Struthio camelus: one gene and its partners. The protein of the gene in region 1 purifies or fractionates together with the protein of each later gene. This does not show direct contact. Links are inferred from orthologs where the notes say so. Each region holds a gene or a part of one and is shown on either strand. Other genes may lie near its edges. The genes, in order: FBL, SNU13, C1QBP and NOLC1.

Region 1 (7,456 bases):
GGCGTCCGGGGAGAGACACCTCGGCTTCCGGGAGCCCCTCTAACCCCCCTCCCAAAGGGGCCCAGGCGTCCGGGGGGCCCAGGCGTCCGGGGAGAGACACCCCGGCTTCCGGGAGCCCCTCTAACCCCCCTCCACAAGGGGCCCAGGCGTCCGGGGAGAGACACCTCGGCTTCCGGGAGCCCCTCTAACCCCCCTCCCAAAGGGGCCCAGGCGTCCGGGGGGCCCAGGCGTCCGGGGAGAGACACCCCGGCTTCTGGGAGCCCCTCTAACCCCCCTCCCAAAGGGGCCCAGGCGTCCGGGGGGCCCAGGCGTCCGGGGAGAGACACCCCAGTTTCCGGGAGCCCCTCTAACCCCCCTCCCAAAGGGGCCCAGGCGTCCGGGGGGCCCAGGCGTCCGGGGAGAGACACCCCAGTTTCCGGGAGCCCCTCTAACCCCCCTCCCAAAGGGGCCCAGGCGTCCGGGGAGAGACACCTCGGCTTCCGGGAGCCCCTCTAACCCCCCTCCCAAAGGGGCCCAGGCGTCCGGGGGGCCCAGGCGTCCGGGGAGAGACACCTCGGCTTCCAGGAGCCCCTCTAACCCCCCTCCCAAAGGGGCCCAGGCGTCCGGGGGGCCCAGGCGTCCGGGGAGAGACACCTCGGCTTCCGGGAGCCCCTCTAACCCCTCTCCCAAAGGGGCCCAGGCGTCTGGGGGGCCCAGGCGTCCGGGGAGAGACACCTCGGCTTCCAGGAGCCCCTCAAACCCCCCTCCCAAAGGGGCCCAGGCGTCCGGGGAGAGACACCTCGGCTTCCAGGAGCCCCTCAAACCCCCCTCCCAAAGGGGGCCCAGGCGTCCGGGGAGAGACACCTCGGCTTCTGGGAGCCCCTCTAACCCCCCTCCCAAAGGGGCCCAGGCGTCCGGGGGGCCCAGGCGTCCGGGGAGAGACACCTCGGCTTCCAGGAGCCCCTCAAACCCCCCTCCCAAAGGGGCCCAGGCGTCCGGGGCGAAAGGGGGGCCCAGGCGTCCCTACCCACCTAGTTCCGACAGCTGGTTTCGAACCGCTTCCGGGTGCGGAAGCGGCGCCCGCGGAGCCTCCCCCATCCCCAGCGGGGCCCCGGCGTCCGGGCCTCCTGCCCCCCGCCCCCGGAAGGGGCCCAGGCGTCCGAGGGGCCCAGGCGTCCCTACCCACGTAGTTCTGCCAGCAGTTCCTGGTCTGGTTCTGGTTGGGGAAGCGGCTGTCGAACGGCGCCGTCCGGTAGCGCTGCAGCTTGGCCTCGATGTCGTCCGCCATCGCTGCGGGGGGGGGGGGGGGGAACGAGAGCTCGTTAGCGGGGGGTTCGTTAGCGGAGGGGGGTCGTTAGCCGGGGGGGGGCCTTAGCAAGGGGAGCTCGTTAGCGGGGTTCGTTAACGGGGCTTGCAAGCGGCGGCGGGGGGCGTTAGTGGGGTGTGTTAGCAGAGAGGCGGGAGCGGGGTTCGTTATCGGGGGGGACTCGTTAACGGGGTTCGTTAGCAAGGAGATGCCAGCAGGATTCATTAGCGGGGCTCGTTATTGGGGGGCTCATTAACAAGGTTCGTTAGCAAGGAGATGCTAACAGGATTCATTAGCGGGGCTCGTTATTGGGGGGCTCATTAACAAGGTTCGTTAGCAAGGAGATGCTAACAGGATTCATTAGTGGGGCTCGTTATTGGGAGGCTCATTAACAGGGTTCGTTAGCAACGAGATGCTAACAGGGTTCGTTAGTGGGGCTCGTTATTGGGGGGCTCATTAACAGGGTTCGTTAGCAAGGATGATAGCTTCTTATTAGGGTTCGTTAACAAGGGGCATTAGCAGTGGAGGTGCTATCAGGATTCATTAGCAGGGGGTTCATTAGTGGGGGGGCTCGTTAGCAGGTAGTTTATTAGTCGGGGGGGGGCTAATTAGCAACGTTCATTAACTAGGAGGCTCATTAATGGGGTTCGTTAGCAAATAGGTGTTACGGGGCGATTTGTTAGAGGGAGTTCTTGGGGGGGGTCGTTAGCAGGGCTCATTAACAGCGATCGTTAGTGAGGTTTGTTAGCAGGGGGCTCATTAACAGGGTTCATTAGTGGGGGGTTCGCTAAGGGGGGTCGTTAATGGGGTTCGTTAGCGGAGCATGCTAGCAAGCTTCATTCACAGGGGTCGTTAGGAGGCTCGTTAGCAGGGGGGCGCTCGTTAGGGCTGGAGCTAACGGGGGCTCCCCGAAACGCTGCAGGGCTGGAGCTGGGCAGGGAGAGATCCCAGTGCGCCCAGTGCCCTCCCAGTAAGCCTGGGTTCCCCCTCCCCAGTGCTCCCAGTAAGCCTGAGTCACTCCTCCCAGTAAGCCTGGGTTCCTCCTTTCCCAGTCCTCCCAGTAAGCCTGAATCACTGCTCCCAGTAAGACTAAGTCCCCCCCTTCCCAGTGCTCCCAGTAAGCCTGAGTCATTCCTCCCAGTGCTCCCAGTAAGCCTAGGTCCCCCCCTTCCCAGTAAGCCTGAGTCACTCCTCCCAGTAAGCCTGGGTTCCCCCCTCCCCAGTGCTCCCAGTAAGCCTGGGTCCCCCCCTTCCCAGTGCTCCCAGTAAGCCTGGGTTCCCCCCTCCCCAGTGCTCCCAGTAAGCCTGAGTCACTCCTCCCAGTAAGCCTGAGTCACTCCTCCCAGTAAGCCTGAGTCACTCCTCCCAGTAAGCCTGAGTCACTCCTCCCAGTAACACCGAGTCTCCCCCTCCCAGCACTCCCAGTTAGCTGCCCCCCCTTTCCCAGTGCCCCCCCAGTGCTCCCAGTAACCTCACTCCCGCCATTTCCCAGTGCTCCCAGTTCCCCCCCCCCACCGGCCTCCCAGTCCCGCCCTTTCCCAGTGCTCCCAGTAGCCCCGGATCCCCCCGCTTCCCAGCGCTCCCAGCACCCCCCCCGAGCCCTCCCAGTGCTCCCAGTTCCCTCCCAGTGCCCCCCGCCCCCCTCACCGAGTCGCGCCGCTCCCTCAAAGTGACTTTCACCGCCGCCGCCCTCGCACCGGAACCAGCGAGACGTCGCGAAAGCGCAGAGCGGCGCCGGAAGTGGCGCGGTCCCCCCCCACTCTAGCGGCCCTCAAGGGGCGGGGCCACAGAGATGAGGCGGCTAGAGAGGCGGCCGGGCAGGGAGGGGGAGCGGCGAGGAGGACCGCGGCGGCCATAGAGAAGAGGCGGGAGGACAGAGCGGCGCCGGCCGCCGGGGGGGAAGTGGGCGCCGAGAGGGGCCCTAAAAGCCCCCTCCCCCGGGGACCCCCAAATCCCCCATTCCTACCCCAAAACTCCTTCCAGTACCCCCCAGACCCCCCAAATCCCCCATTTCTGTCCCAAAACACCTCCCAAGACCCCCCAGAACCCCCCAGATCCCCCATTTCTGTCCCAAAATACCTCCTAGGACCCCCCCAGAACCCCCAAATCCCCCACTCCTGCCCCAAAATACCTCTCAGAACCCCCAAATCCCCCTTTTCTGCCCCAAAACACCTCCCAGGACCCCCCAGAACCCCCATTTCTGCCCCAAAACACCTCCCAGGACCCCCTAGGACCCCCAAATCCCCCAATCTTGCCCCAAAATACCTCCTAGGAACCCCCAGAACCTCCATTGGTGCCCAAAACCACATCCTAGATCCCCCCAGAACCCCCCAAATCCCCCTTTTCTGCCCCAAAATACCTCCCAGGACCCCCCAGATCCCCCATTTCTGCCCCAAAACACCTCCCAGGACCCCCCAGAACCCCCATTTCTGCCCCAAAATACCCCCCAGGACCCCCAAATCCCCCATTTCTGCCCCAAAACACCTCCCAGGACCCCCCAGAACCCCCATTTCTGCCCCAGAATACCCCCCAGGACCCCCAAATCCCCCATTTCTGCCCAAAAATACCTCCCAGGACCCCCCAGAACCCCCCAGATCCCCCATTTCTGCCCCAAAACACCTCCCAGGACCCCCCAGAACCCCCATTTCTGCCCCAAAATACCCCCCAGGACCCCCAAATCCCCCATTTCTGCCCCAAAACACCTCCCAGGACCCCCAAATCCCCCATTTCTGCCCCAAAAAACATTCCTAGGATCCCTCAGAACCCCCCAAATCCCCCTTTTCTGCCCCAAAATACCCCCCAGGACCCCCAAATCCCCCATTTCTGCCCCAAAACACCTCCCAGGATCCCCCAGAACTCCCCAAATCCCCCATTTCTGCCCCAAAATACCTCCCAGGACCCCCCAGAAGCACCAAATCCCCCATTTCTGCCCCAGAATACCTCCCAGGACCCCCAAACCCCCCATTTCTGCCCCAAAATACCCCCCAGAGCCACCAACCTCTCCCCCCCCCCCCGTGCCCCCTCCCTCTTTGGGAGCGGTGTGGGCACTTCCGCCCGGCCCCGCGCGGCGTCGGAGGGGGCCGCGGCGCATGCGCGGGACTCCGGAACGGAGGGGGGCGGTGGAGCCGCGCCGTGACGTCAGCGCCGCGCAGGCGCTTCCGGTTCCGGGGCCCCGAGAGCGGCGCGTGCGACCCCGCGTGGAGCAGCGGCGGGATGCGGCCAGGTGGGGGGGGGGGGGAACTGGGAGGGACTGGGGCGACTGGGAGGGACTGGGAGGCACTGAGGGGCATTTAGGAGGGGCTGGGGGCGACTGAGAGGGCCTGGAAGGGACTGAGAGGGCAACTGGGAGGCAACTGGGGAGGACTGGGGGCAACTGGGAGGGAGCAGGGGGCACTGGGAGGGACTGGGAGGGCTCGGAAGCAACTGGGAGGGGGATGGGGAGCCCTGGGAGGGAACTGGGAGACATTGGGAGGGAACTGGGGGGTATTGGGAGGGACTGGGAGAGACTGGGGGCAACTGGGAGAGACTGAGGGCAACTGGGAGAGATTAGGCGGGACAAGGAGGCAACTGGGGGGAGTGGGGGCAACTGGGAGGGAGCTGGGGGCACTGAGAGGGACTGGGAGGGCTCGGAAGCAACTGGGAGGGGGATGGGGAGCCCTGGGAGGGAACTGGGAGACATTGGGAGGGAACTGGGGGGGTACTGGGAGGGACTGGGGATATTGGGAGACCCTAGGATGAGGCTAGAGAGCACTGGGAGGGACTGGGAGAGACTGGGGGCTTTGGGAGAGACTGGGAGGGAGCTGGGGGGGACAGGGAGGCAACTGGGAGGGAGCTGGGGGTACTGGGAGAGACTGGGAGGGAGACCCTAGGATGGGGCTAGAGGACACTGGGAGAGACTGGTGGTGTTGGGAGAGGCTGGAAAGGACTGGTGGGCACTGGGAGGGAACTTGGGGGGGTACTGGAAGGTGCTAGGAGGGAACTAGGGGACACTGGGAGGGGCTGGGGGACACTGGGGGGCACTGGGAGAGGACTGGGGGACTTTGGGAGATGCTGGGAGGGACAGGGAGGCAACTGGGGGACACTGGGAGGAAACTGGGGGGGGGAACTGGGAGAGGTGGGAATGGACTGGGAGATGCTAGGGGGGCTAAGGGGACATTTGAGGGCCTGGGGGCTACTGGGCATACTGGGAGGGACTGGAAGCGATTGGGGGTACTGGGGGGGGGGAATACTGGGAGACAGAAGGAGACTGGGAAGGAAATTAGAGCAACTGGGAGGGAACTGGGCAGACTGGGAGCAAACTGGAGGTGATTGGGGATGCTGGGGGGGGATGCTGGGAGACAGGAGGGGACCGGGAGGGATATAAAGAGACTGGGGGGGAACTGGGCAGACTGGGAGGGAACTGGGGCGGCCTCTGCCTGCTGCCCAGTGCTCCCAGTTGGCCCAGTTTGAGCGCCCGTCTCCGACAGGGTTCAGCCCCCGGGGGGGCCGCGGCGGCGGCTTCGGGGACCGCGGGGGACGCGGCGGCTTCCGGGGGGGCCGAGGTGAGTGTCGCCCCCTCCCAGTACCACCAGTGCTCCCAGTATGACCGGCGCTGCCGGCCCTGGGGACGCCAGAGCCGGGCACGAAGCTCCCCGCACTGTCCCAGTCCGCCCAGTGGGGCTCGGGGCCCCGTCCCAGTCCACCCAGTAGCTGCCCAGTTCCTCTCTGCGTTCATCCCAGTCTGCCCAGTAGCTTTCCCACCCTGTCCCAGTCCGCCCAGCAGCTCCCTTGTCCCCTCCTAGTGCTGCTCCATCCCACCCCAGTCTACCCAGTAGCTCCCCAGTCCCATTCCCAATCTGCCCAGTTCCTCTCTGCTCTCAGTCCAGTCTGCCCAGTAGCTCTCCTGCCCTGTCCCAATCTGCCCAGTAGCTCCCCAGTCCCATTCCCAGTCTGCCCAGTTCCTCTCTGCGTTCATCCTAGTCTGCCCAGTAGCTCTCCTGCCCTGTCCCAGTCTGCCCAGTAGCTCACCGGTCCCATTCCCAGTCTGCCCAGTTGGGCACTAGTTCCATCCCAGTCTGCCTACTTTCTGCTTCTTGCTGTCCCAGTCTGCCCAGTTGCTCCCCCGTCCCTTCCCAGTCTGCTCAGTCACTTCCCCATCCTTTCCCAGTCTGCCCAGTCATTCCCCGGTCCACTCCCAGTCTGCCCAATGGGGCTCCCCCACCCCTTCCCAGTGCACCCAGGAGCTCCACCGCCCCCTCCCAGTCCGCCCAGTTGCTCCCCCATCCCCTCCCAGTTGCTTTCCCATCGTTTCCCAGTCCGCCCAGTGGCTCCCCCATCAGCTCCCAGTCACTCCGCCGTCCCCTCCCAGCCGCTTTCCTGACCCTTCCCAGTCTTCCCAGTCCTCTTGGTCGCTTTCCCGTCCCTTCCCAGTCCACCCAGTGACTTCCCTGTCTCCCTCTCAGTCTTCCCAGTCCGCCCAGTCGCTCCCTCTCCCCTTCCCAGTCCGCCCAGTCGCTCCCTCTCCCCTTCCCAGTCCGCCCAGTCGCTCCCTCTCCCCTTCCCAGTCCGCCCAGTCGCTCCCTCTCCCCTTCCCAGTCCGCCCAGTCGCTCCCTCTCCCCTTCCCAGTCCGCCCAGTCGCTCCCTCTCCCCTTCCCAGTCCGCCCAGTCGCTCCCTCTCCCCTTCCCAGTCCGCCCAGTCGCTCCCTCTCCCCTTCCCAGTCCGCCCAGTGGCTTCCCCATCCCTTCCCAGTCCGCCCAGTCGCTCTCTCTCCCCTTCCCAGTCCACCCAGTGGCTTCCCTATCCCTTCCCAGTCCTCCCAGTCGCTCCCCAGTCCCCGTCCTCGTTAGGGGCCTCGTCAGCGCCGCTGGCCTTGGCCCCGCAGGTGGCGGGTTCAAGTCCCCCGGTGGGGGCGGCCGCGGCGGTTTCGGCGGTGGCCGAGGAAGAGGAGGGCCCGGCCGGGGGGGCCGCGGCGGCGGCCGGGGGGGTCGCGGTGGCTTCAAGGGCGGCAAGAAGGTGACGGTGGAGCCCCATCGGCACGAAGGTACCGGGGGCCCAGGCGTCCGGGCGGGCAGCAGCACGTTTGGGGGAAAAGGGGGCGGTTTGGGGAGGACGGGGGTGGTTTTGGGGGGCGCCGTGGGGCGGTTGGGGGGGCGCCGTGGGGCAGTTGGGGGGGATGGAGGCGGTTGGGGGG
Region 2 (7,937 bases), on another chromosome or scaffold:
TACCTTCTAGGAACAGGTCCAAGGCACTGCTGTCTTCCACAGTATGCAACATCCCTAAAAGATAAACAGCAATCAATTGTGGAACTCATTCCTAATTGTGATCATCAGTGCTGTAATGCCTTCTTGTAAAAAGAGCTGCAAATCCTTTTAGAACTGTTTTGTTTTTCCCCTGCTTCACATGACACCAACCTGACTTTGTCAAAGGAAGGGGGATGCTCTCAGGGAGGATCACAAAAGATGTCTCCACAAGCAAGGCACAGGGCGATTAAAACATTCAGCTGGGGCTCCATCTTACATTCTGGCACCAAATGCATCCTTGGTTCATTCAAGCTTTATCCATAATTTATGTATTATTACATATACCCTAAACTTGGACTGGGAGCCCAACTGCTCTAGGAGGTATAGCAAGTACACTAAAACCCAAAGCTATCCCCAAACCATTCAACTGTAAAGTCCTTAAAAGAGAGAGACAGGATTATTATTTAAAAATAGGCAAGAGCATTGAAATGCAAACACAACTCCCGGCTTCTGAGGTATTTTGTGTTAGGGTCATACAACATAGGATTGGACTGGTCATAAGCACTGCTCCATCCACATCTATATAGGATCATGTACGCAGACAGTGCAAACAAGAGAACTAAACCTGCAAAAAGGCTCTGTTTCTAACCTAGCTCCGTTTCCAACACATGCACAGCACAGTTTGTCCAACCCAACTGGGAAAACACTGTTTGAATTATTCAGTGTGTCAAGACATGGGAAGGGACTTGTAAGTCACTCCCCCTCCCCCCAAAGAATAAGAAACATCTGTGATGTGCAAATGAGATCTGGGAATTCAGGGAATCCAATATATTTACTCTTTGAAGGTTCTTGCATTCATACCCTCCATCTTTCTCTTCCTGCCTTGCTGTTTCTTCATTTAGACCGCTATTCCTTCTCTGTCAAGAGTTTAGTCAACATTTCAAAGACCTTTCCCACAGCTAGGCAAACAGAAACCACTAAGATATGTTTGGGACTACAGAGACTGTGGTTGGAAAGGCACTTTCTGACATCCCTCTGAACACTCTATTCTGTTGTGAGGCTGACCTCCAGAAAGAAGTGGGTAATAGAGCCCTACAGCCACAAGAATTTGTACAGATATAAAGTGATGGTGTAAAAAAACACCACGTAGGTAAGTATTTTGCACATTTGATATTAAATCCCACAATATCTTTTCAAGCTCACACTTTCATTTCTGTACCAATCTTCATGTAACGCTATAGTTCAGCAAGATGAAAAAGCACTGAGGTGTGACAGCAGAGTGGAAGGCGTTCTGGGAAGAGCAATAAGCGAGAGCGCTCCATCCAGCAAGACTTTAAAGACAAGCTATGATACTTAGGAAAAGTGCAAGAGCTTTATTAAAATGCTAATTCTGCTCCTTGGTTAATAAGGAAATTAATTAACCTATTCTAATCAAATGGCAGCTCCACAGGGAATATAATACACCTAACATGGAAAGGTGGGAGCACAGAAGTAGTTATTAGTAGTCTCAATATTCTTTTTTTTTAACCCGGAGAAACCTCACATTTCTTCATCCATTCAAAAGCAGATGAGAACTGCCCTCTCTCTGCTACTGTATTAGGCCACGAGGGAGCTCTTACCAAAGAGAGTTTCTATCAAATGAACACAAAGCCCTTCATCTGGTGCCAGCAGCTGGACGACCGGCAGCGCCTGCCAGGCCAAGGCATCCCGGAGACGGGAGAGCATGTGTTTCTTACGCACCAACTACAGATCAGAGACAAGCCATTAGCGCTTAGGGCCACGCAAAGCTGCCGCTCGCACCATCCTAGGGGCAAGAGCGTCCGGACCTTACAGCACGTCTGGGCCCAAGGGCTTAGCACCAAGATACACCCAGCCACCTCCGAGCCCCGAATCCGAAGGAGGAGATGGAAAAGCCAGGGAAGCAGGGTGGGGTGGGGTAGCCCTCTCTGTGGGGCCAGCACTGAGGCTGAAGGCTGTGAGCGGCCAACGCTCCGCGGCTGGGGGAGGCCTGGCGGGAGGCTCTCAGCGGCCAGCCCGGCCCAGCGCAGGCAGAGGTGTGTCCCCCCTCCTCCACCATCACCTCCCGGGGGGAGGGGGGGGGCGGCGAGGGCGCTGCCCACCGAGGCGCCGCCGTCGCCCAAGGTCTCCACAGCGCAGGCGAGGCAGAGCGGCGGGCGGAGCGGCAGGGCCCAGCGCGCGCCGTGGCGGCCGGACAGCCTCGCGCACGCCGCCGCCATCGCCCAACGGCTGCCACCGCCAACGGCCGCCGCGCGGGCGGCGTGCGCATGCGCGGGGGCGCCTGTTTGGGGGGGGGCGGGGCGGCGGCCGTTGCCGTGCGACGCCTAGTGAGCGTTATGCCTCCCCGGGCGCCGCGGGTCTCTGCGCAGGTAGAAGGACCTGCAGCAGGACAGGCTGGGGGTTGACCTGCTGGAAAGCAGCTCTGCGGAGAAGGGCCTGGGAGCCCTGGTGGACAACAAGTTAAGCATGAGCCAGCAATGTGCCCTTGTGGCCAAGAAGGTCAATGGGATCCTGGGGGCCATCAGGAAGAGCATTGACAGCAGGTCGAGGGAGGTAGTCCTCCCCCTCTACTCAGCCCTGGGGAGGCCTCCCCTGGAGTGCTGTGTCCAGTTCTGGGCTCCCCAGTGCAAGAGAGACACGGCACTACTGGAGAGAGTCCAGCGGAGGGCTGCAAAGATGATGAGGGGACTGGAACATCTCTCCTCTGAAGAAAGGCTGCGAGAGCTGGGCCTGTTCAGCCTGGAGAAAAGAAGGCTCGGGGGGATCTCATCAATGTCTACAAGTATCTGAAGGGAGGGTGTCAAGAGGATGGGGCCAGACTCTTCTCCGTGGTGCCCAGCGACAGGACAACAGGCAACGGGCACAAACCAAAACACAGGAAGTTCTGTCTGAATCAGAGGAAAAACTTCTTTCCTGTGAGGGTGACAGAGCCCTGGAACAGGTTGCCCAGGGAGGTAGTGGAGTCTCCTTCACTGGAGATATTCAAAACCCACCTGGGCACGATCCTGGGCAATGTGCTCTAGAGGATCTTGCTTGAGCAGGGAGGTTGGACTAGATGATCTCCAGAGGTCCCTTCCAATCTCAACCATTCTGTGATTCTTTGAAAGCCTGGTGGCGCTGCCCCACTGCCTGCCAGGAGCATGTTACCTGCAGGACGCGGGCAAGGGGGGGGGGGAATGCGCGTGCGGTGTCGCCCCCTTGAAGTGGGTGCAGAAAGGGGAGCAGCAGGGGTCCCGCTAGGGTCAGAGAGGGGGGCGCAGCAGCAGTTTGGGAGTGGACGTTCCCCATGCGCTGTGGTACAGGGACAGGTGGGGTAGGGCCTGCGCGGGACCAGATGGCAGCACCAGGGAAATAAAATACCCGCAGGGATGGGAGTAGCAGGGATAGAAAGAGTGTGGAAGAAGAAAAATGGTGTGAAAAGAGGAGAGGGGAGATGAGAGCAGAGCCAGGAAAGCCAGGAAACGGACTGGAGGGAGAGTCCAGAGTCAGAGCCCCTGTTGTAAGGGTGCGCAGGGGAGAACAAGGGGAAAGGTGGCAGGAGACCAAAAGAGCAAGAAAACCCTGAGCAGTGTCCTCTGGTTGCATGGGCACCTTCTGAGTGCAAGGCATGGCTCAACCTCTCCTCTGGTACCCTTTCATCCACGTGTGAGCCCTCAGCCCTTAGACCCCTTCCTTTTCCTTTTCCCCTGGTTGTCCCCTGTCGTGTTTCTATTTCACTTAGCTCCTTCCTCTCCCAAGAGGGCTTAATACTTTGTAGGGCCTGCCTAAAAGAAGGAGAAAATTTTCGTCCTTTACAGAGGTGGTCCCTCCACTGCAAACAATATCAAAATGAATTGGTTGTGTGTGTGTTAGAACCTTAAACTGGTACAGTCTATATGCAGTGTAGAATAGTAGGGAAAGTTAGCTTTCCTCAGCATCAAAGCCCCTTTAAAACGTAAACATCTGGGAGATCTCTATATCCAAGGATAGATGCTCAGGAATACGCTCACACCATATTCACAAAACTGCTAACAAGGAGACATGTACCCGTACAATATGGGCTGTCACCCCTATCTACAGAGCCTTGTCATTTAGTAATAATGTTAATCATAACATGCCGCTGGTCGGTATGAGCACCTGTGGAAATTGGTAAATAGCCCTTAGACTTTCAGCTTTATTTGGCAGAGGAAAAATGAAGAACGAGACATGATTTCTCAGTACCCTTCCATTTATATTTTACATTACAATATACATTACTGTAGAGTCTGGGTCGAAATGATGCTTTACGCATCCCCACAATTCCCTGGAGAAAGAAGTCTGTACTGTCATCCTCATTTTCAGAGATGAAGAACTGAAGCACAGAGAAGTCCTGATGGGCCAGGAGCAGACAAGCAGTCTCCCACTGAGGAGATGTGTAGCTGTAGTTAGTACCTCTCCAAAGTTGAGCAACTCTGCCTTTAGCTTTAGATATAGTTGAACTTTTCATGACTTCATTTTGGGTAATTAAGTCAAACACTTTATCCTCTTCTGCACTTAGAGTGGAACAAAGCTAATAAAGGTGGAATATAAGTGGGAAGAAAATAAATCTCAGAAAAAGCATGAGTATGTCTCTGTGTGCTGTAAATTGAACAACTCCCTGTCTCACGTAGTACTGTATGATGCAGAATTGTCTGCATACTGGTGTATTATGTGTCTGGGCAGGAATAGACCAGCCGGCAGGGAGCAGGAAGCCATCTCAGCTCGGCAGAACCCGGAGCTGTCTGGTGCGCGCGGTGCTGCTGTGCTTCCTGCGTATCCTTAAACCGGCAACCCCCCAGCCTCCACACCGGGAGCGTATCTGCAGTCACTCGGCGTTGGGGCACCTCTTATTTTTCACGCGCAGGTGGCCAACTAAGCGTCATTTGTATGCACGTTCTTGGGGTCGGAGGGCGGGGGGCCTGCAGACGAAACACGCTTGCGCCTGAGACAACGAGCAGACGTTTACCCGCCGCTGACGCCGTCGCGGAGCGCTCCCGCGCCTAGCGCCCGGCCTTGGTTTTCCCGTGGCGCCGACCCCACGGCTCAGCCCCCGCCCCGCGGCGCCGCCCCTTCCCGCCCCCCGGGCTCACCCGCACCTCACTTCCGCTGGCGACGCGTTTCTCCTCCGCCCGGCAGCGCGCTAACCTCTTCTTCCCCCCCCCTCCTCCTCCTCCTCCTCCGTGAAGCTTTCGGGCCGAGAGGACCGACGCGGACGCGTGCGGCGCGGCCATGGTGAGCGGGGCGGCGGGGGGCGCTCCCGAGCCCCCCCCCCCCACGAGGGGCCGTCGGGCTGGCCGCCTTCCCCCCGTCGGCAGCCCCGCTGCCTCCCCGGCGCTGGCGGGGGAAGCACGCGGCGGCGGGGCCGCCCCCACGCTGCCGAGCGGGGCGCGGCGGGGGAGGCCGCGCTTGCCGCGGGGGGGCTGCTGCACGCGCGCGGGCCGCTTTAACACGCGCGAGCGGGTGGCGGTAACTCGCGCGGCGTCTGCAGCATGGGGGCTGGGCGCTCTCCCACGCGTGGAGAGAGCGGGGGGGGGGGGGGCTGGCGCTCCGTGCCGTGGCCCGGGCCGGGAGACCCGGCGCCCGCCCTGTCCCCGGCTCTGCTGGCTCCGCGGAAGCAGAAGCATGTGCTCCCTGTGCGGAAGAGCAGCTTGGGGGCAGTGCCCTAGCTCCCCGTTAGGGCTGGCGGCAGGAGATCGCAGCCGCGGGACGCTGGAGCACTCCCTTCTAGACACTAATCGTGTTTAAGTGGTCAGCTTTTGAATGCGATTGAAAACAATTCCAGTTCCGCCAGTACTAGTTATTAATGCCTGTTATTACCATTCCAATATGCTGTTGATGTTAAAATCTAGAAGCTGTTTGTAATTTGCAGAAGTAAATCCGATACCTTACTCTTCTCAAGCTTTCTTTAAAATTAAGGTCTAAACTTGTTAAATTGTTGCTGGCGGCAACTTGCTCTGAAACACTTCACTTATATAGTATCTGGGGTAGCACATGCTTGAAGACTGCTCCTGGGTCACTGCTGCTAGATTACAGGATTGAAATTGTCCAGCGTTATGTGGCCCAGCAGTGGGGGCAGAGGTGCCGTTTCGTTTGAACATGAGAAATGAAATGCAATGGGATTTTTGGTGTACGTGCTGAGGAGATGAGAATAGTAAGCTGAGTTGACCCCAGCAGTTGATAAGTGTGATAGACTTAAGGCCTATGTAGCGTTGTTCAGAACAAAGCCTCCTTTGCTCCTTGTGTAATACTCGTCTCTTTTTCTCTAGAGCGAGGCAGAAGTGAATCCCAAAGCTTACCCACTGGCTGATGCACAGCTCACCAAAACACTACTGGATCTTGTGCAGCAATCCTGCAACTACAAGCAGCTACGTAAGGGAGCCAATGAAGGTGAGACCTGCCTGTTACGAAGTATGCTAGAGTTGCTTGAATTATCAAAAGAGCTTTGAGAAGCTGTGGCTGGAGGTTTGTCTTTTCTCTCCAGGTGTGGGCCACTAATTTTACATAGATCTTGGCTAATGCAAATATGCCTTGCTTTCCTTCTCCCCTTTGCCTGCTTAGGGAATAGTCAGGGACAGAATTCAACGGTAACGTTTTCAACCTTTATATACAGTTCTGGAGGATGCTCAAACTGTACTCCTGGTGTACTGTGTTCATGTATACTTTAGTGGTGAGGCACTGGGATTACCCGATGTCTAGTTAGTTTAGAATTATAAAATAATTTGGGTTTGAAAGGACCTGTGAAGGTCTCTGGTGCAATCTGTCCAGAGAAGGCTTTCTTTAAAGCTGGATCAGGTTGCTCAGAGCCTTGTCTAGTCAAGTTTTTAAAAAATCTCTAAGGATGAAGACTCCACAATCTCTCTGGGCCCCTGTCCTAGGGGGTTCTGTCCTGTATTACTCTCAACGGTGGAATTTTTTTCCTTATATCCCATCAGAATTTCCATGAGGCAACAGTCACAGACTGCAACTTGTCCTTTCACTTTGCACCCATGAGGATAGTCTGGCTCTATGCCCTTTAGGTAGTAGAAGATGGCAATGACATCCCTCCACACCTTGGCCTTCTCTTCTCTAGGCTAAACAAACCCAGATTCCTCAGTATCTCCTTGTCCGTTGTGTGCCCCGACCATTTTAGCTGTCCTGTGCTGGACTCGCTCTGCTTGTTGATCTCCCCCCTACACTTGAGGGCAAGGCTGAACCCAGTATTCCACATGCAGCTCGGAGTGCTGCGCATGGGGAATGATCCCTTCCCTGGACCTGCTGACTGTTTTGAAGGTCAGCTTTCATCTCTGCGCTGCTGACTGCCGCTCTGTTTAGTCTGGACTTCTTTCATGGCCCTGGAGCTGCCATTTTCCTTGAGCTGTCCTCATGCTACCACTGGATTTCCCGCTTGCTCATGCAAATTTCAACATCTATTAATCTTGCTTTTCATTAATGTGCTTTATAGAAAGCCCTAGACTTAATCTTAAGTTTCTTTTGCAGCCACCAAAACACTGAACCGAGGAATAGCAGAATTCATTGTGATGGCTGCAGATGCTGAGCCCTTGGAGATCATCCTACACCTTCCACTTCTCTGCGAGGACAAGAACGTGCCCTATGTCTTTGTGCGCTCCAAGCAGGCCCTGGGCCGGGCATGTGGTGTCTCTCGGCCTGTCATTGCCTGTTCGATCACCATCAAGGAGGGATCACAGCTAAAGCCTCAGATCCAGTCTGTCCAGCAAGCTATAGAAAGACTTTTGGTCTAAATGCCCATGAGCTTAAGTTTGTGTGGAATAGGACAAGCTGGAGTTGGGGGAAATAATGTTTAGCTGTAGTTGATGAGGTAATAGTTTTGATATCAATGTTTCATTTCAAAACACCTTTTTTTTTTTATTTGTTTAATAGTGACTTAATTCTGAAAGTGTTTCTGC
Region 3 (6,891 bases), on another chromosome or scaffold:
TTACAACGGGCTGCTTCACACCAACAAGTGCTACATGCGGGATCTCTGTGTGGTGGATGCGGACTGGCTGTATGATGCAGCCCCTGACTATTTCCGCAGGAAGCTCAGAACAGCCAAGAACTGACCTGCAGGCCTGGGGCTAACAGGACCAGGATTTTTAGGCTCACCTAATGAGGCTATTTTTTGTTTTGTAATGAATGTATGGGAATGGTAGAGCTTTGCCTTGTAAATCGGGTAAAAACCTTAGAGGAAAAATGGCTTCTCTGTGAGAGCCAGACCTCACAAGTCTCCATGGCTTAGAACAATCATCCTTTATAGCAGTTAATCTGTAAAAGGGAAACATAACAAGTACTCTGTGTGCACGCGTGTGTGTGTGTGAGAGTGATAAATCTGTGTTGGGGGGGGGGAAAGGGAGCTGGTATCAGATTCCAGTTTTTAACACTTACTAAACTTTAACGAGCTTGTATACGAAGAAATGAAATCCTAAGAGCTCTTCTGAGCAGACTTGGTATTTTTTGATGATTGTGCTTGTATCCTTAGCAGGTTTTATTGGCAAAAAAAGGAGAAAAAAGTTTTAAATCTCTACATACAGGGAAAAAATGCCTTTTTTAAACTATTTCTAGAAGGGAGGTGCTACTGTCTTTTACCTCATTAAACATCTTCCTGCCTGCATGTCATATTCACCACGTCATTTGGGACCAGCTGAAAGCTAGTAATGGCGTCACCTGCTTGGACAGGTCTTCATTGCCTGTGTCTGTGTCCCAGGGGCTGGTAGTATTTTCTCGGAGGGGCTGTCCAGCCACCTGTGCATTTGATGTTGCTTTTGTTCTCCCTTTTGCTGTTAGGGCATGCAATTCCTCTGTGTCTGATGCACGTGGAGGAGGCAGCTGTAGATTCTCAATATTTGGCCCCACGGTTCCACGTGGAAAGATGCAATCTGCTCTGTCTAGAGCGATTTTCTTCCTCTGAAGAGCCAAACTTCTTAAAACAGGAGGAGGGACTCACTCCTGGGAAGGATCCAGCGTTTTAGCAGCAAACTCTTACGTCCTTCCCCGCTCTGTATCTGGACACTTCTGGCTTTGGAGTTGGCACACCGTCCACAATAGCTAGTCAAGCTAGTTTGAGGCGAACTCAGCAAACCAAGTACGAAGATGTAGTTTAGACTCTTAGACTTCCTTTAAAGGCACTGGAATCATCAAACCTTTCTTCTGCTCTGACACCGGTGCTTCTTTCCCCCTTCCGCCCCCCCAGGCCCCAATTATACTTTGACTCTCCATTAGAAGTTTGGAGCTTGGCGTTGTTTGTCAAGAACCATAGATCTGCCATTAGTATTTATTTTTATTTTTCCATATCCCTTTGGCATCTAACTATCTTTTTTTCTTCTTATTGGAGAGAAGTGGCAATAAGAAACTTAACCCTCTTTTTAAATACTGTAATTAAGGAACTAAGACCACTCCAAAGGTAAAACTTGTTCTGTAGTGTGAAGGAAAATGGGTTGGTTACATTATGACTGTGTGTGGGTGGAGAAAAAATTTAAGTTGTTTTTAAATGATGCCCTAAGTAGTTCTAAAATAACCTCTCTGGGAGAGGTGACTTCCAGTTTCAACAGAGTCTGTTGACACAGTGTATTAGTTTATACAGATTTTTGGATGAGTTGCACTAAAGCAGATTTGTTATAGAGTGGGAGAGAAAGCCGTTCTGTAAATACGGTGTCATTATATAATACAGTGAGGTTAGCTAACATGGGCTGTGACGGGATTTTCACCCTTTGACTTAAGTGGTGTTCAGTTCTTGCGTTCTTCAAGCATCAACTTAAAACAAAAATAAAAGCTCATGGCATTTTAGTGGGACTGCTCAGGGATGCAGTCATATTGGCAAGCCCTTACTCACTCCATTTGCTTGGGGAGTAAATAAACTGCTGGCTTTGCTCGTGGGATCTGTGGGAACAAGCTGCACTTTCCAGTTAGCAAAATGTCCTTTCTGGTTGCACACATCACAGTTACCCAGCACATTGTAATATGCCTTCTCTTTGGGCTCCTGATTTCGACTTACCTTGGTTCTCTCTTTGAAAACTGGGTCAAATACCTCTTAAAAATAAAAAAAAAATGGAATTTCACTTTTGCTGGTCTGCAAATTGCTGTCTCCAAAGAGAGTAGATAGGGATCCAGTGTACCAAGAACGGTCTTGTCTCTCAGCCTGTTCCCGGAAAGGGTGATACTGAAAGTTTGCGGGGGTCCCGTGGAAGTGGGCTCGCGTCCGTGTTGTGCCTCTTGCGGTGTTGTTCCTTGGTGGTCAGAAACACACCAGTGTGCGGGGCACAGGCAGCCGTTGCCACTTTTGTATGTAAGAGCAGCTATCGGTTTTGATTCGTGTTTCAAGAGTGTGCTGTTATTTCAATTGTTCTCACTCGCACAAACTGCAGGGAATTATCAAAGCACTGTACGTAACTCTTCCTTGTTTATACAGACTGCATCTGTAGGGGAAAATGGAGTAAAAGCACATTTGGTTTGGGCAGTCTAATTAAGCAGACTGTTTAAGGGAGGGGATGGGGAACTGATTTAGAAGTAACTGATTTGTATATTTTTCCCACAATAAAGAGCGATGGCTAAAATCCAAGTGCCGGGTGTCGTTTTGTGAGGCGGGAAAGCTGCATAGCTAACAGAAATGATGGCAGGACGTTTCGGTACAAGTCCTCATAGTAGTGCTTGAAGTCCGGGGGCGAGTGTCCTGTCTTGACGCCGTCCGGGGTTTCGGTGTCACTGAAGCACTTTGGATTTTAAAGATAAAACCTTAGCAGGGGTTGGTGAGTCTGGGCTTTGCGTACAGGAGGGGCCCAGTTATTGCGGAGGCAGGACTCAAACACGAGCGGGGAGCAAAAATCCTGGTCCTTTGAAGCCATGATACCGGACCTCTCCAGCCAGAGCCTTGCTGCAAGCACTAATTGGCCTTTTGTGGGTCTGGTCAGAGCATTGGAACAGGTTGCCCAGAGAGGTGGTGGAGTCTCCTTCGCTGGAGATATTCAAAACCCGTCTGGATGTGATCCTGGGCAATACGCTCTAGAGGACCCTGCCTGAGCAGGGCGGTTGGACTAGATGATCTCCAGAGGCCCCTTCCAACCTCAACCAGTCTGTGATTCTGTGGTCAATAGGGGACAAGAGTGCCAACTTGGAGACAAAGCCCGGGCTTTAAGCCAGGAGGCAGTTTGCCTTGGTCGCGCCCCCTTCTAAAATATTTATTGCTAAAGGCCAAAAAAAATCATTTGTTTCCCCTTTCTGAGGCCTTGCCAGAAAGCTGGCTATTCTTCTAAGAAAGAGCCGGGAGGATATGCAGGGATAAAGCTTTCAGCGCTCAACGATGCTTTTTTCTTGTCGCGGTCAGTGTTGAAGCTTCAGCGTCGTTTCCACGCGCCTGGAGCTTTTCTGTGACCCTTTCAGCAGCGCCAGAGCCTCACCCGCCGAGTGCATGGGGTGGAGAGGTGGTAAATATTGATGTATATACATGTAATATTGACGTAGACGTGGTGCGTGTGCTGCTCTTGTGTATTGTTGCTCTTTGTAGCCCATCAGAGTAGTGAGCTGCCCCCTTGACAGGCGTCCCTCTGCAACCGCTGTAAGCAAGTCACTTCAGGTTTTCCACTTCCTTGTCTGTAAAGCGGAGGTAAACGCAAAGCTGGACCGAGCCCTGCTCTACCGCCTTCTGTTTGCATAAGCAGCGCGTTTCCGGGCGGGACTCCGCAGCTGCCGGGGGCGGGACTCGAACCCGCGGCGCCGGGCTCGGGGCGGGGCGCGCTCGCCGCTGCGCTGCCGCGAGGCAGGACGGGAAGGGGGCGGAGCGCGCTGCGCCGGAAGCACTCGCGGCACTTCCGGGCCAGGCGGTGTCCTCCGCTGCCGGCCTCGCCATGCTGCTCGCCCGCGCCCTGCGCCCCGCCGCCGCCGCCGCCCTGCGCCCGCCGCCGCCCCGCCACCAGCCCCGCCGCCCCCTTCTCCTCCTCGCCGCCCCCTCCTGCCCCCGCGCCCTCCTGCCGCCGCCCGCCGCCGCCCCGCTGGCGCGCTCCCTGTGGCAGCTGGGCGGCGGCGGGTGGCGGAGGGCGCTGCTGCGCCCGCGGCGGGGCTCGGCCGGCGGCGTCTCCTGCGGCTGCGGCGGCCTCCACACCGAGGGTGAGCCGGGGCGGCGGCGAGGGGAGGGAGCGACCCCCCCCGGCAGGAGGGGCGAGGGGGGCGGGGGGAGCCGCTCTGGGAGGGCGACGGCCCCCTGGGGGGGGGGGCAGGGCCCCCGTGAGGGGGGCGGGGGCGCGAGCGGCCACGTGCGCCCTCCCCCCCCCCCACGTGGTCGCGCGTGTCCCGGCCCGCACGTGGCGGGCGGGGGGGGTGCGACACGAGCGGCCTCGGCCCCCGCCGGGCCGTGCTGCCCCCCCCCCCCCCGCCACCGTCTCCCGCGGTGGCCGCGGGGGAAGGGGCGATCTGCAGCCCCTGCCCGCTCTCGAGGGGTTTCTTGCTTTTTTCCTTTCTTATTCACTCGCCTTATTGCTGCCTCCTAAGGAGACAAAGCGTTTGCAGCCTTTCTGACGGATGAAATAAAAGAGGAGAAGAAGATCCAGAAACATAAATCCCTGCCCAAGATATCTGGAGGGTGGGAGCTGGAAGTCCATGGCACAGAGGCCAAGCTGGTCCGGAAAATAGCTGGGGAGAAGTAAGTGCAAACGGGTGCTTGGCGTTTCTAAGGATTCATCTGGGCAAGCGTGTGTGCTTGACAGCAGTAATCACAATTCTTCTGTGTGTTCGTGTTGCTTGTGCCACTGTCTATCCAGGCTGCGCAAACTCTGGGTGTTGCATAGGCTCGTTATTTTACCATCCTGGGCCCAAGGTGTTTTTCTTACCAGTTGGCTTTGTTTTGTGTGTTGCAAAGATTTGTGAGATCTCCCTCCATTAAAAACATGAAATCAGTCTAATAAAACTTGAAGAACGCCCACCTGTTTTATTAGAGCGTGCATCTTAAACTCTAAGCTGCAATACATACCACATGAGGGAAGGACAAATAGAACAGAACATGTAATATGCTTTGAATCTCGTTCATGAGGTGTGAATTCAATGGCTGTAGTGCTGTCCCTGCTACAAAAGTTTCAAATACGAGAGATACAGTAAGTATTTTCTTTATTGTGTTTAAAATAATTGCTTATGGTTCTTTTGAAGGATAACGGTTACGTTCAACATCAATAACAGCATTCCGCCATCTCTTGAAGAAGAAGAAACACAAGAAGAGCAGAAACCTGATGAGCAGGAGGTAAACATAGTCTTTATGTACACTTTATTATGGATGTCAGCACACAGGAAAGTTAGCTGTTTGCCCTTAATGCTTTTTCTCTCATTTGATATTTGGGAGCATAAAGATAACATAACGCAGATTTTTCTCAATTTCCTGTTCTTTGGCTGTGACCCTCTTCTCTCTGTAGCAGGAAGACAGAGAGGGTGAGAGGGTTCTGTATGAGGAGAGATGAAAGGAACGGAGATATTTGACTTTATGGCTGCCTCTGTAACCTGCTACAATAAATACTGCCTTTTGTACTTTGCTTAGCTAGTGTAACTAATGGTACTGGTATGCCATGCCAACAAAATGCAAAACTACTCACATGACGTTGTTTGCATGGTTTTGTTGATTAGAAGAGTGTCGCATGCTCCTTTTTCATAAGACTGTGAGTAAAAGTACTGGTAAAACTAAGCGAGCAATGTGATTTGAGGCAGATGCCTAATCTACAGTGACATTGGTTGAACAAGTAGGGAATGAAACTGTACTGCATGTCTGTGGTTTATAGCAGTTACTCTGCGTTTTTTGAACGTTAGTGCTTATTCCAGTGCATTACTGCTTAGTACACTCAGCTGGGCGGGCTGGGGAGACTGTACGTTGCTCCCCATCCCTGGGCATGCCCTTATCTACTGAGAACACACAGTGCGCTTGGTCCGTGCGTGTGCATAGGAAGTCTTTGTGCACTGCCAAATGTCCCACGTGAAGGAGCGCTGGCGAGAGCAACTCCTGCTCTCAAAACAATTTACAGGGGGAGGAATCTGGGTGAGTTGCAGGCTCTCTGGGTTGTTAGTGATCGTTCTACCAACGTGACCAGATGCAGAATAGAGAAGGGGCTGAAGGGCCGTGGGTGAGGTTGGAGGAGGCTGCCTTGGCGAGGACAACTCCAGAGGCCCTCAAGAAAGAGGGTGACTGGGAACAACCTGGGTGCTGGATGGGCTGTGTTGCTGGGCTGTACCTTGGCTGCTTTAGCTCCCGTTCAGACTCCAATGCTGATGTGAATTTCTTTCTTACCTTTTACGTAGCCTGATATTACATCAACTCCAAACTTTGTTGTAGAAGTAATAAAAGATGATACAAAACAGACCCTTGTTCTTGACTGCCATTATCCTGAAGATGAGGTGAGTATTGAACTGCTCAGGTGTCAGCTACGGCTAACTCTGGCCTGTGGCTCACTGCACATCTCCTGCTTGACCACAGTGTAATTGTGCCACTGTTGAATCTAACTGCTCTAACAGTCTGCTGGTTTTCTTAATCTGCAGAAAATGCAGTCTTCTCTTGCTTCTCTTGTTTAACACAAAAAAAGGCTTTAAGAGCCTGCAAGAATAAGCTCTGGGGAGATGTTCCATTACATTCCTTATATCCTGACCTTGCTTTTCTAATCAGCTACATATAGGCTAGCTTATTGAATTGGAGAAAGGAGGTATGGATTCTTTAACTGCATGGCAAATTGAGATAGGTAAACAAGAATGGCCTAAAGGATACATTTAATACAATGTATAAGTAACTTGCAAATCTCATGGGTGCTGAGGTGTCACAAAGGTGGAAGAGTAGTAGGGATTAGCCAAAAAAAAAAAAAAAAAGAAAAGAAAA
Region 4 (7,083 bases), on another chromosome or scaffold:
CTGCTCACACCCTTCCTCCTGGCCACGCTCCCCAACCTGCCTGAGGTTTTTACAGCAAAAATGTGCTAACACAGCTTTGGCCCTCACACACAATTTTGGAATAGACACCAACTCTTTGCTCAGACTTAACCAGCTGGATCTAAACAATAAGTAAAGAAAGCACGAGTTCTCAGTGTTATTCAGCTTCCATCGTCAAGAACTTTGGGTTGGTCCCAAGCAGTTGAAGCAGTTGATAAGTTGAAGTCTAAAGCATCCTGGCAAATCCTCCTCCTCCTCTCACACCAAGGAAAAGTTTACATAGACTTGTCTTGGGGAGACAAAAAGAGAGCCCCTCTCATCAAGCCATGTGCACTCCTCAGCCACTGCAGCACAGTCAACTGGAAAACTGCCCCATATACTGATATACTGATCTCAGTATACTGAGATCAGATCTCACAGCTGTTCGCACTGCTGGAGCTATTGTTCAAAACTGCAGTGCACTGATTTGAAGGGCAATTTCACTTGTTTGCTGGATAGGGAGATAGGACTGGCTCTGCTCTGCCTGTCTCTGCCGATGACTTTCAGGGCAGAGACACCTACTTGTCACTGCCACATGCCTGTAAAATGGGAAGCTCTCTTCTTCCCCCGAGTACTGTGAGATTTGATCTACCCTTTCTAAACATGCTGAGATTCTATAAAGGTAGCAAAAAAAAGAAATATGATCTACAAAAATCACACCCCATCTTTCAGCACTGTCCAAATCCTTAGCTTTTCAACCTCGCTTCCTATACTAATGGCTTCTTGTGAAGCCAAACTGAAATCAACAGACATTCCAGAGACTTTAGCAAATAGGAGGGAGGCCAAAGCCCCTTCACATCTTACTATATTAGGCTGGCCTAAGTGAAAGATGTACATAGCTTACAATGAATTAAAAACAAACTGAAGAAAGACAGGTAGTCTTTCATGCTCGATTGCCCATAACTGACTGTATACATCTTAATCTTCCTTCTTCTGGTTTGCAGCAACGTTTGAACATAGTTATACTTAATGCATTTTTCTCAAGGGTCTGTCTTACCCTGTCCAAAGCAAAGGACTAGCTTGCTCTTTCCAGAACTTCTGCAAACCTAGGCAAGTAGTGCAGCAACATTGCTAGGTACTTTTGAGAGCGATTAAAGAAAGGATCCAGCAAGCGTTTGAGTACCCATGCCACCTCTTCACTTGTTATTGGTCACGAAAAAGTTGGAAGAGCAAAGCTCTCTCATGTGAATGCTCACTCATGAGGTGAAAGATTGCTCTTCCGGGGGTCTTAATGAGAGAGATATGCCAGCCAAGAGGAAGGAATGAAAAGGAACAGAAACAGAGAAACAGACAGAAGCAAGCAGTGGCAAAAGTCAGTCAAACTTGGTTTGATGTAGCAGACCCCACTACTCCCACTAGGGTCTCCCACTACTGCCTTGGGAAATCCAGAACAAAATATGAGCTTTCTTTGTATGGTACCGCTCTACCTTGTCATCTGGAGAGTTATAGGCACAACCCAGGGGAGCACACCTGGATAGTTACATCTCTGAACAGAAGCACTCATCTAGCATGCGTGAACAGACCTAAATAGTAAAGGCCTGCAAGGAGAGGGAGATGCTTACTAACCAGGATGAGAAGCAAAGTGAGCCTGTGAAGCAAGTGTATTCTAAGCACAGCCAGTAATGCATTTCCCCAATTTCTCACAGCAGCAAAGGCTGCATCTCTTCATTTCTGCCTGAGACAACAAGGCACAGAACTTGTGCTGAGCTTTGCAGGTGAAGCTTGTGGCTACCTCTTACTGCTCAAAATAAATGGAAGCTATAAGAGCTCAGAGATATACTGGTTCCTGGGAGCAGTTGCCTTTCTGCAGCACAGACCTCAGTTATTCTAGGCACAATAGCTGCAGACCAGACGTGGGCGCCTGAGAACAGAGTATTCTCCCTGACAAAAATCAAAGATTGCACAAGCGCTGCAGGGTCTGAGAGTGCACATATTCAACAAGCCCTCAGTTGAGCACCCCTTCTCTACACCACAGGCAACAGCATCTTTACAGGATAACAGAAGCTCACATAAAAGTCAACCACTGCACGAGCTGCTTTTTTTCCCAGCACTGCAAAAGTGGCGTCTTCCCCAGACACCACAGATGTCTCTTGCTGGGCACACTACCTGCCCAAGCACACGTTCAAAAAGTACTACCTACTTGCATGCAAGAGGCACAGGACCACATGTAACTGGGCACAGCAGCATCTGGAGACAGCTAAGAGCAAAGGAATAGAGGAACATCAAGAGTACAATAGTACCCACCGACTGCTGCTTCTTTATCTCTAGCAGCTCTAACGCAGAACTTTCAGAACAGTGCTCTTTCTCATCTCCCTTTGTCCTTAGGAGGTTTTGCTGTATGCTCTATTGAAGGGGAGGGAGGGGGAAGAGAAGGAAGGGGTGGGGGGAAGCCCCATTACAAAGGTAAAGGGAACAGAGCGCTACGTTTATTAACGTATACCTTAAACAAAAGGGAAAGAACTTCAGTGAAGGAGAGATGACTAATTTAAAGTCATATTGTTAGACAGCAGCTGAATGAAATCTCTTCCTTGTCAGGGCCCTGAGTGCACTAACAGGCTTTAATTGCCCTGATCAGCCTCACCGGGGACTTCCACCCCTCACCCTGCTCATATGCCATGGAGCTCCATTTAAGCTCAGGCCTGAGCTTTCTGTGCTTGCTTACCTGACCTATTTTGCAGCTGTACCTGTTTCAAGTCCTGCCTCCAATCCTACTTCCTGGACTCTCCTTGAACTTATGCTGCAGGTAGCCTTATTCCCAGTCATTTCTCTAGCCCCATCTTGTAGATGGTGCACATTGTAGCTTTTGCTCCAGATCTGCTTCTGGCCCTACCTCCCTTTGCTCCTGAAGGGATTCCTTGGCGAAGTCCTAGACTTCATTCGCTGCCCACCTTGCTTGGGACTGACGGTGGATCCTGTTGCCAGCACCCTGCTCTGTTCAGATTCTGTGGTAGTGGGCCCTGTTGGTGAGGGCTCTGTCTGCACCAGGGTCTCCCTCAGCTCCTGGTTTATCCTCCTTTGTGGAGTGGCTCTGCTCTTTTTTCTCTGTGATGCTCCCCTTGAAGTGAACTATAACCAGAAGCAGACTCACACGTGGGAGAGGGGGAAAGGAAGGGAATGGGTTTAAGTTAACTGAAATATTCCCTCTTCCAGGGTCACACGCACACTCCAAGTTCCTTTGTCAGACTTGTCCTGGGTTCCCATGCCTTCTTCCTCTCTGCTGCAGACCTCTGATAGAATCTGGCTTCTGGAACAGTTCAACCAGCACACAGCCTACTCCCTGCTGTCCTCCTTAGGATCTTGTCTGGCAGGTCATTCCCTGCTCTCTTCTTTCTCCAAGGTCTCATAGCCCTGCTGACTGCAAGAGAGAAAACGGACACTGTTCTGGCTAAAGGTGAACCCTTATCTCTGAGGGCTCTAACTCACAGGTCCAAGTCAATCACCATCTGTAGAGTCCTTCTTGTCTTGTTCCTCCTACCCAGCCAAAATTACTGCCTGTCTTGCTGCCTTTACGTACAGGCATCGCTCTGAACACCTGATAGCAGAAAGTCAGCTCCATCTGCCTTCCTAGCCCCTCAGCCTAAGCCTGCTTTTGCACCGCAAACAGCACCCCGCTCCTGCCTGTGACCCACGCAGGGCCTGAGCACCAGCCCCGAGCCCTGAGCGGGGCCTTCCCAAAGCTCCTCGCGCCCAGGGCACGGCCACAGCGGGCAGATCCCTCCTTTGCAGAGCTTCTGCGAGCCCTTCCCGCGCACCCCCGCAAGCAAATCTCTCCTCCGGGCTCTCGCCAGCGCGCATCGACGTCTGCGCGCCCCCAGGCTCACCGGAGCGGCCCTCCCCTCGCCCGCCTCTCCGGCTACGTTCCGTCCCCCCCACCCCCGCATATCGCTCCCGAGCCGCTCCTCTCGCAGCCTGCCCTCCCCCGGGGCGGGCCCAGCGCTCCCGACAGTCCCGCCAAGATGGCGCCGGAACTTCACCGCCCTTCCGAGGGTGGGGGGAGGAGGGAGAGGCGGTGCGCGCGCCTGCGCGGGCGGGCTGGTGGATGTACGTACGTACGTACGTGCGCGCGTGCGCGCTGGCGGCACGTGGCGGCGGTGCAGCATGGCGGCGTGGCGCGCGGTGCCCAGTGACCTGTTCCCCTTCGTGCTCGCCTTCCTGCGCGAGAACCGCTTCGAGGGGGCGGCGCGCGCCTTCGCCAGGGAGGCGGGAGTGGTGAGCGGCGCGCGGGCTGCCGGCCGTTGCGGCCGTTGGGGCGGCGGCCGGGCCGGGCCCCGGCGCGGGCTGCGCGGCCTGGGCGGCGGCGGCGGCGGCGCCGGCGGGGGGCGCGCCCTGAGGACAGGGGCCGCTCGGGAGGCGGCGGGGACCTCGGCGGACCGCGGCGCCGCCGAGCCGCGACCGGCTGAGACGCGGGTATCCAGCGGCGCCGTGCCCCGGTTTGCTTCTTGGCTTTTAATGTGAGCGTGTTGGTTGCACAACCGGTGCGCTCTCCTGGCTGAGTTTGCTGTAGGAGGCAGCTGTTCGTCCGCAAGCGGGTCGCAAGCGGTTCAGGAGTTACCCTGCGGTGTTCTCCGTCAGAGCGCTAACAGTCGACAAACTTTCTGTTTGTATTCCTACAGAAAGACCAGGATCCCAATGCTGCCTCTCTCTTAGACGTCTTTAGTTACTGGCTGAAGTAAGTTTGCTGCCTCCTGAAAGATTTGCTGAAGGGTGCTTTGCTTATCTACCCTGGGGACACACGGCTTGCAAAACTGAGCTTTCTTCGGCACTGATCTGCAGTCTTGCTGATAGCTTGTTTGGAGAAAAAGCTTTTAAGCCTGTGGATTAAGTGCTTCAGTGAAAAGTCATGTATGCGGTGATGCTGTTGTAGATGCAACTTGGATGGTGGTGATGGTACAGGGCAATCATAACATCAAAAAATAGTGGCTAAGACTAGTGTATGGGTTTTAATATTTGAATAGTAACTTTTATAGCAGTTTTTGTTCTTTTAGACCCGTCAGTAGCCTTAGGTTTGGTGCTGTAACAAAGAATAAAATAGAATGCTGGAGAAGTGATTGTTCCCGAGGATAACATTTTACTTTCTCAAGGCTGGGAGGACATAAAGTCAGCAGAAACTTTCTTTGGAGCCAAGTCTTTCTCTTTGTAGGTCTCCTGCTGCCAAAAAGAGAAAAAGTGTTCCCAATGGATCTCGTGCAAAGAGGAAATCTTCCTCAAGCAGTGATGACAGCTCCAGTGAGGAAGATGAAACACCCCCAGCCAAGAAACCAGGTAAGATTTGTAAAAGTTCTTAGGGCAGATGTGCATTATGTTCGAAAATTTCTTCGTGATGTGGATATAGAGCTCAGTTTCTGCTCATCTGAAGTCTTTAAGTTGCTGTCAAGGATTGGCTTTATATTGAGTGATCTTGGTTTTGGTAGATCTTCTGCCCATGACTCCCATCTGCTTTTGTAGCCTGTGTTCCTCCTCCTTGAGGGTGATTTCTCCGTCCAGTTGTAATTGAAGTAGATGGAGTTTTGAATCTGCTAGAAGCCTTTAATGATTTGATTTGTCTCTGTTGACTCAGGCTGGTGGAGGCATTAGGCTGTAATGAATTCTGAAGGTGCTACTGAAGTAGCAAGTTCATTATATTATCTATATTGCGATTCTGCTGTCTAAATACTTACTGTTGTGATATCCAGGCAGAGCTACTCTCATCCACTTCAGTGCTTTCAAAGTCTTGTTGATTTAAATATTGAGTGAAATTGTTTGAATGCATATAAATTGGGCTAATACTTGGAGAAGGAGGTACTCCGTGATTTTTTCTTCCTTCTGTTTCCCTGGGACTCTCAGTTCCTGTGGAATCCTTAAAGAATAGCTCCTTGTCCTACTGTTGTAGGACAACTGATTCAGGGTATATTCAGGGTACATGTGCTTGCGCGTTTCTTAAAATACACGTAATTTGACAAAACTTATACTTGACTTGGCGTTATCAGGCTTCTTTGTGTATTGATGGGCATCGTGACCTATTTGAGGCAGGACACTTGTGGAAGAGAGACTTCAGAGAAATGGCAAGCACTGTTAATCAGTTGCAGGCTTACTCTGCTGCTTGTGTGAGGTTCCTACCCTCCTTTCTCAAGCCTGTGTCCTAGTGCTGTCTAGAGATAAGTCCCTCCGCTGCATGTTGGCAGGTGGTGAGCTGTGTTTCCCCTTTTTTAATCTGGAATTGCTTTTATGCCCTGCTTGAACCACTGCGTACTCAACTTGACGTGCATCTAGCAGCAGATTTGTGGGAAAAGAGTAGTAGACAGGAAGAGGGAGACACCCAGAAATAAAACCGGTCTTTAATTCAACCTAACCTGAAGGTGAATTTGAACTGAGGCCTGGTTTTGCTTTGAAAAGGGAGGTCAGAAATATACTTTGAGGTGAAATGATTTATTAATGATGTGCAGCAAAAGAAGCAGTCAGTAACCAGAAAGGAGTAGACTTGGCTAAAACAAGTTAAGCAATGAGTCTGGAAGCTCAAAACAGCATTGCGCTGGTTCTCTTTGGAAGTCTGCACTTGTTAGGCAGTTTTTTTAAGCTGAAAACTGTGCAGGCCCAGTTAATCTCCTCTCAGTTTGTGGGGACACTCTGTACATGGGGTGAAGGTTTTGGTGATAACGTCTGCACTTAAACATACGTGTGACAAGGACTGAATGAAGCTGGAATTTTTTTATTCCTTTTGGAGTCTTCTGTCACACTCCGCTTGAGAAGCTAAGGCCTGAACTTCAGCTGTGATTTAATAACCTTCATTTATCTTTTTGCCCTGACACACAGTAGTCCAGGATATATGTATATGAAAGTTGTGAATTCACTTATCAGTGTGTGCTGTCCCTTATTTGCAGCTAAAATAACAGCTGTGCCCAAGGTGAAAGCATCTCCACCAGCCAAGAAGGCAGAGAGCAGCAGTGAGGACTCCAGCGATGATTCAGACTCTGAGGAGGAAAAGAAGCCAGAGAAGGTCAGCTTTTCTTTCCAGCCTCTTTCACGCAAGTTTGACAGTGATGGATAAAA

Evidence for each region.
Region 2: the proteins of FBL (region 1) and SNU13 purify together in Homo sapiens (affinity purification with mass spectrometry; 5 studies listed by BioGRID and IntAct, with this or other methods). This does not show direct contact. The link is inferred for Struthio camelus from reciprocal best matches to the Homo sapiens genes FBL and SNU13.
Region 3: the proteins of FBL (region 1) and C1QBP purify together in Homo sapiens (affinity purification with mass spectrometry; 4 studies listed by BioGRID and IntAct, counting the BioPlex papers as one, with this or other methods). This does not show direct contact. The link is inferred for Struthio camelus from reciprocal best matches to the Homo sapiens genes FBL and C1QBP.
Region 4: the proteins of FBL (region 1) and NOLC1 fractionate together in Homo sapiens (co-fractionation; 3 studies listed by BioGRID, with this or other methods). This does not show direct contact. The link is inferred for Struthio camelus from reciprocal best matches to the Homo sapiens genes FBL and NOLC1.

The regions. Positions count from the first base shown.
Region 1 is NC_090974.1:162,876-170,331, reverse strand, and holds the start of FBL (rRNA 2'-O-methyltransferase fibrillarin), read left to right. Parts: upstream 1-4,447; 5' UTR 4,448-4,498; coding exon 4,499-4,508; intron 4,509-5,751; coding exon 5,752-5,826; intron 5,827-7,147; coding exon 7,148-7,306; intron 7,307-7,456. Other genes in the region: COX6B1 (cytochrome c oxidase subunit 6B1), read right to left, coding at 1,162-1,267.
Region 2 is NC_090942.1:56,644,078-56,652,014, forward strand, and holds the start of SNU13 (NHP2-like protein 1), read left to right. Parts: upstream 1-4,932; 5' UTR 4,933-5,262; coding exon 5,263-5,265; intron 5,266-6,299; coding exon 6,300-6,420; intron 6,421-7,509; coding exon 7,510-7,772; 3' UTR 7,773-7,937. Other genes in the region: MEI1 (meiosis inhibitor protein 1), read right to left, coding at 4-54, 1,638-1,761, 2,139-2,255.
Region 3 is NC_090957.1:13,521,515-13,528,405, forward strand, and holds the start of C1QBP (complement component 1 Q subcomponent-binding protein, mitochondrial), read left to right. Parts: upstream 1-3,877; 5' UTR 3,878-3,898; coding exon 3,899-4,157; intron 4,158-4,538; coding exon 4,539-4,689; intron 4,690-5,189; coding exon 5,190-5,280; intron 5,281-6,323; coding exon 6,324-6,419; intron 6,420-6,891. Other genes in the region: ATP-dependent RNA helicase DHX33, read left to right, coding at 1-124.
Region 4 is NC_090948.1:23,817,563-23,824,645, reverse strand, and holds the start of NOLC1 (nucleolar and coiled-body phosphoprotein 1), read left to right. Parts: upstream 1-4,083; 5' UTR 4,084-4,155; coding exon 4,156-4,266; intron 4,267-4,670; coding exon 4,671-4,726; intron 4,727-5,197; coding exon 5,198-5,319; intron 5,320-6,914; coding exon 6,915-7,030; intron 7,031-7,083. UniProt on the Homo sapiens protein: Nucleolar protein that acts as a regulator of RNA polymerase I by connecting RNA polymerase I with enzymes responsible for ribosomal processing and modification.